Oryctolagus cuniculus: one gene and its partner. The protein of the gene in region 1 purifies or fractionates together with the protein of each later gene. This does not show direct contact. Links are inferred from orthologs where the notes say so. Each region holds a gene or a part of one and is shown in the gene's direction. Other genes may lie near its edges.

Region 1 (4,323 bases):
CTGGACTGGAAGAGGAGCAACCGGGACAGAACCGGCACCTCGGGCAGAGGATTAGCCTAGTGAGCCGCAGCGCCGGCCCTTTGTTTGTTTGTTTGTTTTTTAGGAGCTGCTTGTTTTAAATGATCATCTTTGCTTTCATTTTACTTGAAAAGCAGAGGGACAAAGACAGATAGACGTCATCTATCTGCTGATTCATTCCCCAGATTCCACAATAGCCGGGGCTGGGCCAGGCTGAAGCTGGGAGACCTGGAGCCTCCATCCGAGCCTCCCCTGTGGGTAGCAGGAACCCAAGTACTTAAGCCATCCCTGCTGCCTCCCAGGGTGCAGTCGCAGGAAGCTGGATGGGAAGCAGAGTTGGGACTCAAACCAGGCACTTCACTGTGGGCTGTGGGTGTGGGCATCCCAGATGGAGCATAACCACTGTGCCCAGCTGCTGCCCACTTCCTCCCACACCCCATGCTTTTGTCCGTTTCTGAAAGGTGCTTGCACATTTGATTCTGCAGACCAGCACGTGCACCTTGAGTTTTCCCAGTAGCTGGGAAGAGTTTGTGCTGCACCATCCTACTCTTTGTTTTGATAGTCTTTAGTACCTACCATCTTGTTGATCAGGGAGCTGATGGGGCATTGTTACTGGTGGTGACTGCTTACTGTGCCCTCACTTTTTGGCAGACCATTAATAATTTGTTTCGTGTCATCCTCAGAGCAGGCCATGTAGTAAATAGTAAATGAACTCAGTCTCATCCTGCCCAGTGGGATACTTCCGATTCCAAAGCCTGACTTGATTCTCATTGTATGATATCGCTCCCCATGAGAAAGTAAAGGAACAATTCTGATGGAGCAATTTCCATGTGCCAGGCGTTTAACATATTCCATTCGACCTCAGAGCAACCCTTGTAAACTTTTAGGAATATTGATCATTTCATACAGCTAGCTAGTTCCTGGAAAAAACAGATTTCAAACTTAGATCTTTCTGATCCAAAAGCCTGTATTTTTTTCCACTCTGCTGCAGCCAAAGAGTAATTTGACTGGAGATTAATGTTTTCTTTTAGAGGTGTATGGCCTGTATAAAAGATCCAAGCTGGAATTTGGGTCTCCTTAGCATTGGCTCAGACCAGCGTTTAGAGCTGAAGCCTTATCCCACTGCAAGGTTCATGGAGGTGTACCTCCTGGAACGTCGGGGAGTTTGGAGAGGAGCGTACATACGTCTGTCCACACTGCACTCTCTTCTCTTAGCTCCTGTTGAAGGAGATCATCCCTCTGTGCTGTGTAGCTTGGGCTCAACTTGGTAGTGGCCTGTGGCGAGTGTCACAGGAAAGACAGTTGTGGTGTCCATTGAGTAGGAAAACCAGCCTGATGAAGAAAAGCAAAAGAGTGGTTGGGAAACAGAGACAGAGACGGGAGGCTCTGGCGGGTGAGGTGCGGTGCTGCTGGCTGGCGTTTCCCTGCCACTGGAGGCAGGCGAGTGTGCAGGTGGTGTGGGCGGGAGGCCTGGGGGACTAAGATAAACAGCCTGCGCTGTGGAAAGCCTCGGGAAGGGAGCAGCTCTGCCCTCCCCGTGATAGTCACATGACCTCAAAGGAAAGGGGAGGGGAAGCCGCGTCAGGGGGTGTCTCACGTCAAGGATTCTCTTTGTAGGACATTGTTCTCCCTTAATTTACTTCCTGTTCTTTCTCTTCTAGCTCCCAGGGTTACTAGAGCTCCTTGTGGAATATTTCCGACGATGCCTGATCGAGATCTTTGGCATTTTAAAGGAGTATGAGGTGGGTGACCCAGGACAGAGAACACTACTGGACCCTGGGAGATTCAGCAAGGTGTCTAGTCCAGCCCCCATGGAGGGGGACGAGGACGACGAAGAACTTCTAGGTCCTAAACTAGAGGAGGAAGACGAGGAGGAAGTTGCTGAAAATGATGAGGAGCTGGCCTTTTCAGGCAAGGACAGGCCGGCCTCGGAGAATAACGAGGAGAAGCTGATGAGCAAGTTTGACAGACTTCCGGTGAAGGTCGCACAGAAGAACGACCCGTTTGTGGTGGACTGCTCAGACAAGCTTGGGCGCGTGCAGGAGTTTGACAGCGGCCTGCTCCACTGGCGGATCGGCGGGGGGGACACCACCGAGCACATTCAGACCCACTTTGAGAGCAAGACGGAGCTGCTGCCTTCACGGCCTCATGCCCCCTGCCCTGCGGCGCCCCGGAAACATGTCACAACAGTAGAGGGTACGCCTGGGACAGCAGAACAGGAGGGGCCCCCACCTGATGGCCCCCCCGAGAAACGGATCACAGCTACTATGGATGACATGCTGTCCACACGGTCCAGCACGCTGACCGAGGAGGGAGCCAAGAGTGCAGAGGCCACCAAGGAAAGCAGCAAGTTTCCATTCGGCATTAGCCCAGCACAGAGCCACCGGAACATCAAGATCCTAGAGGACGAGCCCCACAGTAAGGATGAGACCCCACTGTGCACCCTTCTCGACTGGCAGGATTCCCTTGCCAAGCGCTGCGTCTGTGTCTCCAATACTATCCGAAGCCTGTCGTTTGTGCCAGGCAACGACTTTGAGATGTCTAAACACCCAGGGCTGCTGCTCATCCTGGGCAAGCTGATCCTGCTGCACCACAAGCACCCAGAACGGAAGCAGGCACCACTAACTTACGAGAAGGAGGAGGAACAGGACCAAGGGGTGAGCTGTAACAAAGTGGAGTGGTGGTGGGACTGCTTGGAGATGCTCCGGGAAAACACCTTGGTCACACTCGCCAACATCTCGGGGCAGTTGGACCTCTCCCCATACCCCGAGAGCATTTGCCTGCCTGTCCTGGACGGACTCCTGCACTGGGCAGTTTGCCCTTCAGCTGAAGCCCAGGACCCCTTCTCCACCCTGGGCCCCAATGCCGTCCTCTCCCCCCAGAGACTGGTCTTGGAAACCCTCAGCAAACTCAGCATCCAGGACAACAATGTGGACCTGATCCTGGCCACACCCCCCTTCAGCCGCCTGGAGAAATTGTATAGCACCATGGTGCGCTTCCTCAGTGACCGAAAGAACCCGGTGTGCCGGGAGATGGCCGTGGTACTGCTGGCCAACCTGGCGCAGGGGGACAGCCTGGCAGCCCGCGCCATCGCCGTGCAGAAGGGCAGCATCGGCAACCTCCTGGGCTTCCTGGAGGACAGCCTCGCTGCCACCCAGTTCCAGCAGAGCCAGGCCAGCCTCCTCCACATGCAGAACCCGCCCTTTGAGCCAACGAGCGTGGACATGATGCGGCGGGCTGCCCGCGCGCTGCTCGCCCTGGCCAAGGTTGATGAGAACCACTCGGAGTTCACGCTGTACGAGTCACGGCTGTTGGACATCTCGGTGTCACCGTTGATGAACTCACTGGTTTCACAGGTCATTTGTGATGTACTGTTTCTGATTGGCCAGTCATGACAGCCGTGGGACACCTCCCCCCTGTGTGTGTGTGCGTGTGTGGAAAACTTAGAAACTGACTGTTGCCCTTTATTTATGCAAAACCACCTCAGAATCCAGTTTACCCTGTGCTGTCCAGCTTCTCCCTGGGGAAAAAAGTCTCTCCTGTTCTCTTACCTCCTCCTCCCCTGCCCCCCACCCCCACCTTTCTGTTCCTTGCCCTCACCTTAAACCCCTCAGGACCCCACCCTATTTGAAAAGACAAAGCTCTGCCTACATAGAAGACTTTTTTTATTTTAACCAAAGTTACTGTTGTTTACAGTGAGTTTGGGGAAAAAAATAAAATAAAACTGGCTTTCCCGGTCCTTGCATCAACGGGATGCCACATTTCATAACTGTTTTTAATGGTTAAAAAAAAAAGGAAAAAAATACAAAAAAAACTCTGAAGGACAAAAAAGGTGACTGCTGAACTGTGTGGTTTATTGTTGTACATTCACAATCTTGCAGGAGCCGAGAAGCTGGCAGTTGTGGACAGACTGTTCACTGGAGAGGCCTGTGCAGTAGAGTGTAGACCCTTTCATGTACTGTACTGTACACCTGATACTGTAAACATACTGTAATAATAATGTCTCACACGGAAACGAGAGAAACGCTGGGTCAGCAGCAAGCTGTAGTTTTTAAAAATGTTTTTAGTTAAACGTTGAGGAGAAAAAAAAAAAAAGGCTTTTCCCCCAAAGTATCATGTGTGAACCTACAACACCCTGACCTCTTTCTCTCCTCCTCGATTGTATGAATAACCCCGAGATCACCTCTTAGAACTGGTTTTAACCTTTAGCTGCAGCGGCCACGCTGCCACGTGTGTATATATATGACGTTGTACATTGCACATACCCTTGGATCCCCACAGGTTGGTCCCCTCCCGGCTGCCCCT
Region 2 (6,263 bases), on another chromosome or scaffold:
GGGAACCCAAGTCCTGAACTTGGATGAAGGTAGTCTTGGACATGCAGTGACAGCAGAACCTGGCAGAAACAAATGGAAATCATCTCTAGGGGAAATACATTTTAAATACAATTTGGGCATATAACAAGTAAGTATGACACCATGAGCGAGAACTAGGAAAACAGACCCTTAGATCCTTCATGTATTAGAATCATCAGGGGCTGGTGCTGTGGCATAACGGGTAAATCCACCTCCTGCAGTGCTGGCGGTCCATACAGGTGTCCGTTTGAGTCCCAGCTTCTTCACTTCCAATCCAGATCCCTGCTTATGTGCCTGGGAAAGCAGTGGAGGATGGCCCAAGTCCTTGGGCCCCTGTACCCACATGGGAGACCTGGAGGAAGTTCTAGGCTCCTGGCTTCAGATCAGCCCAGATTTGGCTGTTGTCTCTGCTTCTCTGTAACTCTACCTTTCAAATAAATCTTTTTTTTTTTTTTTAAATCATCAGACACAGATTATAAAACAACTGTACTTTGAACAAAAGTTTGAAAGATATAGAGGACAGGGAACTCTTAAAATGACATGATATTTATAAAGAACATTTGTAGAAAGCTTTATGCTTTAATCAGGGATTAAAAACACAAATGCCTTCAGGGAGCAGACAGGTAACACCAATGAGCCAATAGGCTGTGTGGGCACACGGTGCACTGGACAGCTCTGTGTGAGGCCGAGCTCCTCGGCTAAGGCTGTTTGTGCTACGTGACATCAGTCACCCAGGCTGCAGACCTGTTCTCTACAGAAGTTTGGTGTTTGGGTTCCTTTTTAAGGTGGTCAAATGCACATAGCATAAAACTGATCTTCATAGCCATTTTATTTTTTATTTGATGCACACAAACACACACGGAGCTCCCACCCAGCGGTTCACTCCCCAAGTGCCTGCAATGGCTAGGGTGCGGCCAAGCTGAAGCCAGGAACTGGAAGCTCAGGGAGAGCTCCCACCTGAGTGTCAGGAACCCAACTTGAGCTGTCACTGCTGCCTCCTAGAATACACTGGCAGGAAGCTGGAGTCGGGAGCTAGAGCCAGAGCCAAGAATCAAACCCAGGCATCCAACGTGTGACCTGGCATCTCACCTGCCAGGCTAAGTGCAGCCATGTCGAGGTATGCGATTCAGCAGCATTGAGTACCTTCACTGTCATGCAACTCTTACTGCTACTCTGTTCCAGAACCATTTTACCACCCACAAAATGAACCCCCAGGCCCGTAGCTGTCCCTCCCCATTGCCCCCTCCCTTCAGCATCTCCCCCCCCCCCCCCGTTTGCTGTTGCAGTGTTCGTGAGCAGTAAGTGGAATCAGATAATACTCATCCTTTGGGGCTGGCGCTTTCACTTGGCATGTCTTCACATGTCGCCATGGAGCATGGGGCCACGTTCCTTTCAGCGTGGATTCTTTCCCTCTATGGCTGAATAGTTTGCCACCATGTGGAAATACACACCCATTTCATCAGTTGATGCTTGGGTTTCTGACATGGTATCTTTCTATTTTAGTTTCAAACACATATTTCAAAGCTCTGCATGGCCCAAAGCACGTATCTGTTGGCCACATTTGTCAGGGGGCCTCTGACTTAGGACCTGCCCTTACATACATGTATTTTCCCATATAATTCTCAGGATGACTTGAGGTCATAAGCAGCTATATTTCAGGATGCTAAGAAGAAATGCCCAAGAAACGGCCTGCAGTCTCTCACCCCATTTCCCAAGTAGCTCGCCCCCCACAAATAAACTGGGAGCAGAGTGGATTGGGGGGGCAGCGGGTTGAGCCACCACTTGCTACACCCACATCCCTTCCGAGTGCTGGTGCAAGTCCTGGCTGCCTCCCTGAGCGATCCAGCGCCCTTCTAATGTGCCTGGGAGAGCAGAGGAAGACGATCCCAGTACTTGGAGCCCGGGTACCTGCGGTGAGACCCGGATGGAGTTCCAGGTTCCTGGCTTCCTTGTGGCCATCTGGGGAGTGAACCAGTGGGGGAAGATCCCTCTCTCCTTCTTCCTCGCTCTCGCGAACTCTGCATTTCAAACAAATATTTTTTTAAAACGGAGGAAACTCGAGTTTCCCATACTATAGTACCTACGGCTGCAACCTTGAACTTCTCCAGGACTCGGTGTCCCGCGTGCGAAGTGCGTGACGCTGGGCGGGTTTACCTCCAGCCAGCACTGGGGCCACTCGGTCTCCCGGACCGGCAGACTTTACATCTGGTCCAGGGAGCATCGCCGCATCCGAACACCTGGGTGACCCTGATCCGTGTCGTCCACAGCGCTCCGTTCTTCCGGATGGGGAGGGAACTCCGCTCGCAAGTCCTTGTAGGTGGGACCAGTCCATGTTTACCCGCTAGGGTCACTGGAGCGGCCGCTGCGGCGGGCCCGAGCCTGGTCCTACCTGCAGGAGGGCGACTTGTGGCCCCTCGCCCTGTTACGCCAGGGCCACTTCTCCCCGAGGGAAAGGAAGAGTCCCTGCTACCAGGAACCTTTTTTTTTTTTTTTTTTTTTTTTTAAACAAGCCTCGTTTTCCAAAAGGGCGCAGCACGGGGAGGCGCCGGCCCGAGGCCGCGCGTTAAACAGGGCAGCGGCTGCACAGAGACCCGCGCTTCCCGACTCTCTCCAGGATCACCGCGCGTACGGAACCGCTGCCGCAACTCCAAGAAGTCAGGAGCCCCACAGGAAAACTTGCATTACTGCACCCGCTGCCACGCACCCGGGCCCGGACCGGGCCGCCCCGCGGGCTCCGCAGGAATGCGCCGTCTCCGGGGGTCCCCGCCCGCACCTGCGGCCTCCCACGGAGCGACCGCGCGCCCCCGCGAGCCCGGAGCCCGGGACCACTGGGAGCCTCCGGCCTTCTCCCGGGGAGAGGCCCGGCGCCTCCCCGGGTGGAAGGCGGCTGCGGCGGCGCCTGGAGGCCGCGCTGCTCCCCCGCTCGGTGCAGCTGCCGCCCGGCGCGTGCGCACTGGGCCCGGCGCGGCGGCGGCGGCGGCGGCGGCGGCGGCGGCGGCTTTGTGTGCGCGCGTGTGTGTGCGCGGGCGCGCGGGTGTGTGAGCGCCGTGTGTGCCGGCGGCCGCGGGCGGGCGCGAGTGTGGCCGCCGCCGAGCGCCAGCAGGACCCGGCGGGCGCGCTCCCCAGCCTCTCCGTCCCCGCCAGAACCATGTCGGGCAGGTCGGTTCGAGCTGAGACCAGGAGCCGGGCCAAAGATGATATCAAGAGGGTCATGGCGGCTATCGAGAAAGTGCGCAAATGGTAAGCAGAGGCGCCGTCTCGCCCGCTCGCGGCTCGGCGCCGCAGCCTCCGGGAGCCCGGAGCCGGCGCGGAGAGCCGCGGGCGCAGCGCCCCGGGCCGCCCGGCCGGCCGCGGGCCCGCGAGTTGGCGAGGGCGGGCGGCGCGCGAGCCGGGTCACCTGCGCCCGGCGGGGGCCGCGGCCGCTGCCCAGGTGCGCTCGCGCCTGTCGCCCACCTGGCGGCGGCAGCCTGAGGGCGGCGGGCGCCCCGGGCCGGGCGGCCAGAGCGGCGGGCAGCCCCCCGCCGCGGCGCCCGGCCGCCGGGAGGGGGGCTCGGGGCCGGCCCCAGAAGCCATTTCGTTTTGTGCAAGTCACATGAAAGCGGCTTCCCGCGCGCCGGGGCCGCGATGCCGGCGGCTGCGTTGGGGAGAGCGCGAGCTCCATTGTGCAGGCACCGAGCGGGCCGCCGCCGCCTCCCCGCGCGCCCCGGCCCGCGCCGGGCCTCCCGCCCCGCCGCCCGCCCAGGCCCGGCGCCCTCGAGTCTGCGGAGTTTGCAGAGCGCGAGCCGTTTAAATTTAGCGCTTTGGGCTGCCTGGAGCTAGGGCTGCGGCGGGGCGGCAGGACGGGGGCGAGCGCCGGGCGCCCGCTCTCCGGGGCCGGGGCCGGATCCCGGGCCGCGTCCGCCGCTGCCCCGCGGCTCGCGTCTGTTTTGCGGAGGGAGCCGTTGTTTTGTTCTCCGCGCGGGGGGCGGCGAGGGTCGCCGTGGGCCGGGAGTGCTCCCCAGGCTCGGATTCGGCCCGGCGCGGCCAGGCCCGCTTGTCACGGGGCAGGATCGTGCGTTCTGCCGGCCTCGTGGGGGTCCGCTTTGCGGCCCCGGGGCCAGGCCCCGGGCGCCAGGTTGGGTCGGACTTGTTGGAAACTCCCAGCTCCCCGATTGCAACTTTATCGTTTTTTTTTTTTCCCACGGCTTCACCCGGGTCCGGGAGGGAGAGGAGCAGCAGTGTCAGCGCCCCCGGGGCCAGTAGTCCTTACCCGCAACCCCCCTCCACCTTTTTTAAAAGTCCAGAGCCTGAGCAGGCCCCACCGAGGTGCGCTCCCACTTGGGGGGTGTTATTTCTGGAGCCAGCCTGGGGCTCTGCAGCAGCACTGGGGCCAGCCCCGGCTCTGAGGGTGTCACAAGTTAGCCGTCCTTTCTGAGTCAAATCCAACAAAAAGGCAAGAGGGAAATCAATAAAGTCCACGTGCTCCCGGGCCTCCTATGGAAGGGCTGCGGCGCGGATGGCCGAGTGCCCGGCCGTGGGCTGGGCTTGGCTGCAGTGGGACAAAGAATTTTCAGAACCGTGAGAAGGGGAGGTTCTCCAAAGTTGAGATCCAAGCCGTGGGTGCCACAGGGGCTCCCCTGGCCCGCAGGGCACCTGGTGCCGTTGAAACGGTGGCAGAAACAGCTGCAGGCCAGAAGGCAAACCCCGGGAAACCACCACAGCCCCCCCTCTCCTTAGAAGTCCCAGGGGGAGGCTGGAGGTGTCCCCCTCCCCGTCTCAGCCCCTGTGCCTGGCGCTCCTTCTGTGCGCAGCCTGAGGTTAGGAGGGGGTCGTGCCAGCTGCCTCTCTGCTCAGGGAGGCGTGGTGGGGCCTCCTGCCCCAGGTTCCCAGCCGGGCAGACTCCTGCACCCTGACAGCTGCGCCCAGGCTGCCAGCTGCTCTTCGGCGCGGGCAGACGGAGGAGGGAGGGGGCCAGAGCAGTGGCCTGCAAGCTTCTGTCTTGCCCAGGCCACTGTGGGCCAGGCCTGGGGTTGGGAGGGGGCGGCTGCCCCCTTGCCTGTCCCTGGAGACCTCAGGCTTCCTTGCTGTGACCTTGGGTGCACCATGCAGCTTCTCTCACGGACCAGAAGGCCCGCGGCTTCCTCTGGCTGTTGGGAACCAGTGAGGTCACATGTCCAGCCACACCTGGCCCTGTGCACTGGAGTACCTGGTAAACGTTATCTGAGGTGCACTTTGGAGAAACTTGGCTCCCTCCCCCCCTTTTTTTGTTTTGATTTTTATTTATTTGAAAGGCAGTGAGACAGATTTTCCATCCTCTGATTCACTCCCCAAATGCCCACGGCACCCAGGGATGGGCCATGCCGAAGCCAAGAGCCAGGGATTCAATCCAGGTCTCGCACATGGGCGGCAGGGACCCAAGTGCTTGAGCCATCACCTGCTGCCTCCCAGGGTGTGCATCAGCAGGAAGCAGGATTGGAAGCAGAGCTAGAACTCAACCCTGGGACTGCAAACGTCCTAAGTGGCGGCACCAAATGTCTGCCCATTTTTTTCCCCTTTTAGGCAAAAAGCCTTGTCTTTATTGTGTGGTTCTCCCGCCCCTGAGTGGCCAGTCTGGCAATCAGTGGCCACTGTGCCTTCTGAATGGGCCATCGTGTCAGCCCTGGGGCTTTTGGGTTGTTTATTAACAGCACGCTTTTCCCCTGGGGCTGGGTTCCCCAGTCCCTGAGGTTGCCCAATTTAGCAGACAAAAATACAAGACACCCAGGTAAATGTGAATTTCAAATGAATAACAAAATGACTTTTAGAAATAGATGTGTTTTTTTTTAGCATAAGTATGTCCCATGCAGTATTTGGGACATACTCAGACTAAAAGAAGCACGTCCTGTGTCCCACCAAGAGGCGAGCTGGGAGGTCTGGCAGGCTGTGAGCCTAGGCTGTTGTTTCTGCACAGCCCCAGGGAACCCTAAAGCTACCCTTCTGCTGCCCCTCCCTGTTCACTGCCCCAGGAAACAGCCGGCAGCCAGCTGTGTGCTCCCTGAGTCGAGCTTTAGGCCTGAGCTGGTGGAGAGTCAGGTGGCCGGAAGATGGCTGGGGGACAGACAGGATGTTGGGCCCCCTCTGGACCACTGGGCAGGGTTGGAGAAGAGAAGGAAGTGCGGGAGTTGTCGGCTGGGACATAAGGGCTTCAGCTGTGAAGGGAGCTGGGCTGTAGTCCCGGGGTCCCGGGAGAGGCCTGCTCCCAGGGGACTCTGGGGGAGGTGGACGTT

The links. The genes of interacting proteins can lie anywhere in the genome.
Region 2: the proteins of ARID1A (region 1) and BCL7A purify together in Homo sapiens (affinity purification with mass spectrometry; 5 studies listed by BioGRID and IntAct, counting the BioPlex papers as one, with this or other methods). This does not show direct contact. The link is inferred for Oryctolagus cuniculus from reciprocal best matches to the Homo sapiens genes ARID1A and BCL7A.

The regions. Positions count from the first base shown.
Region 1 is NC_091438.1:144,719,321-144,723,643, reverse strand, and holds part of ARID1A (AT-rich interactive domain-containing protein 1A), read left to right. Parts: intron 1-1,679; coding exon 1,680-3,413; 3' UTR 3,414-4,323. UniProt on the Homo sapiens protein: Involved in transcriptional activation and repression of select genes by chromatin remodeling (alteration of DNA-nucleosome topology).
Region 2 is NC_091452.1:7,064,626-7,070,888, reverse strand, and holds the start of BCL7A (B-cell CLL/lymphoma 7 protein family member A), read left to right. Parts: upstream 1-2,731; 5' UTR 2,732-3,166; coding exon 3,167-3,258; intron 3,259-6,263.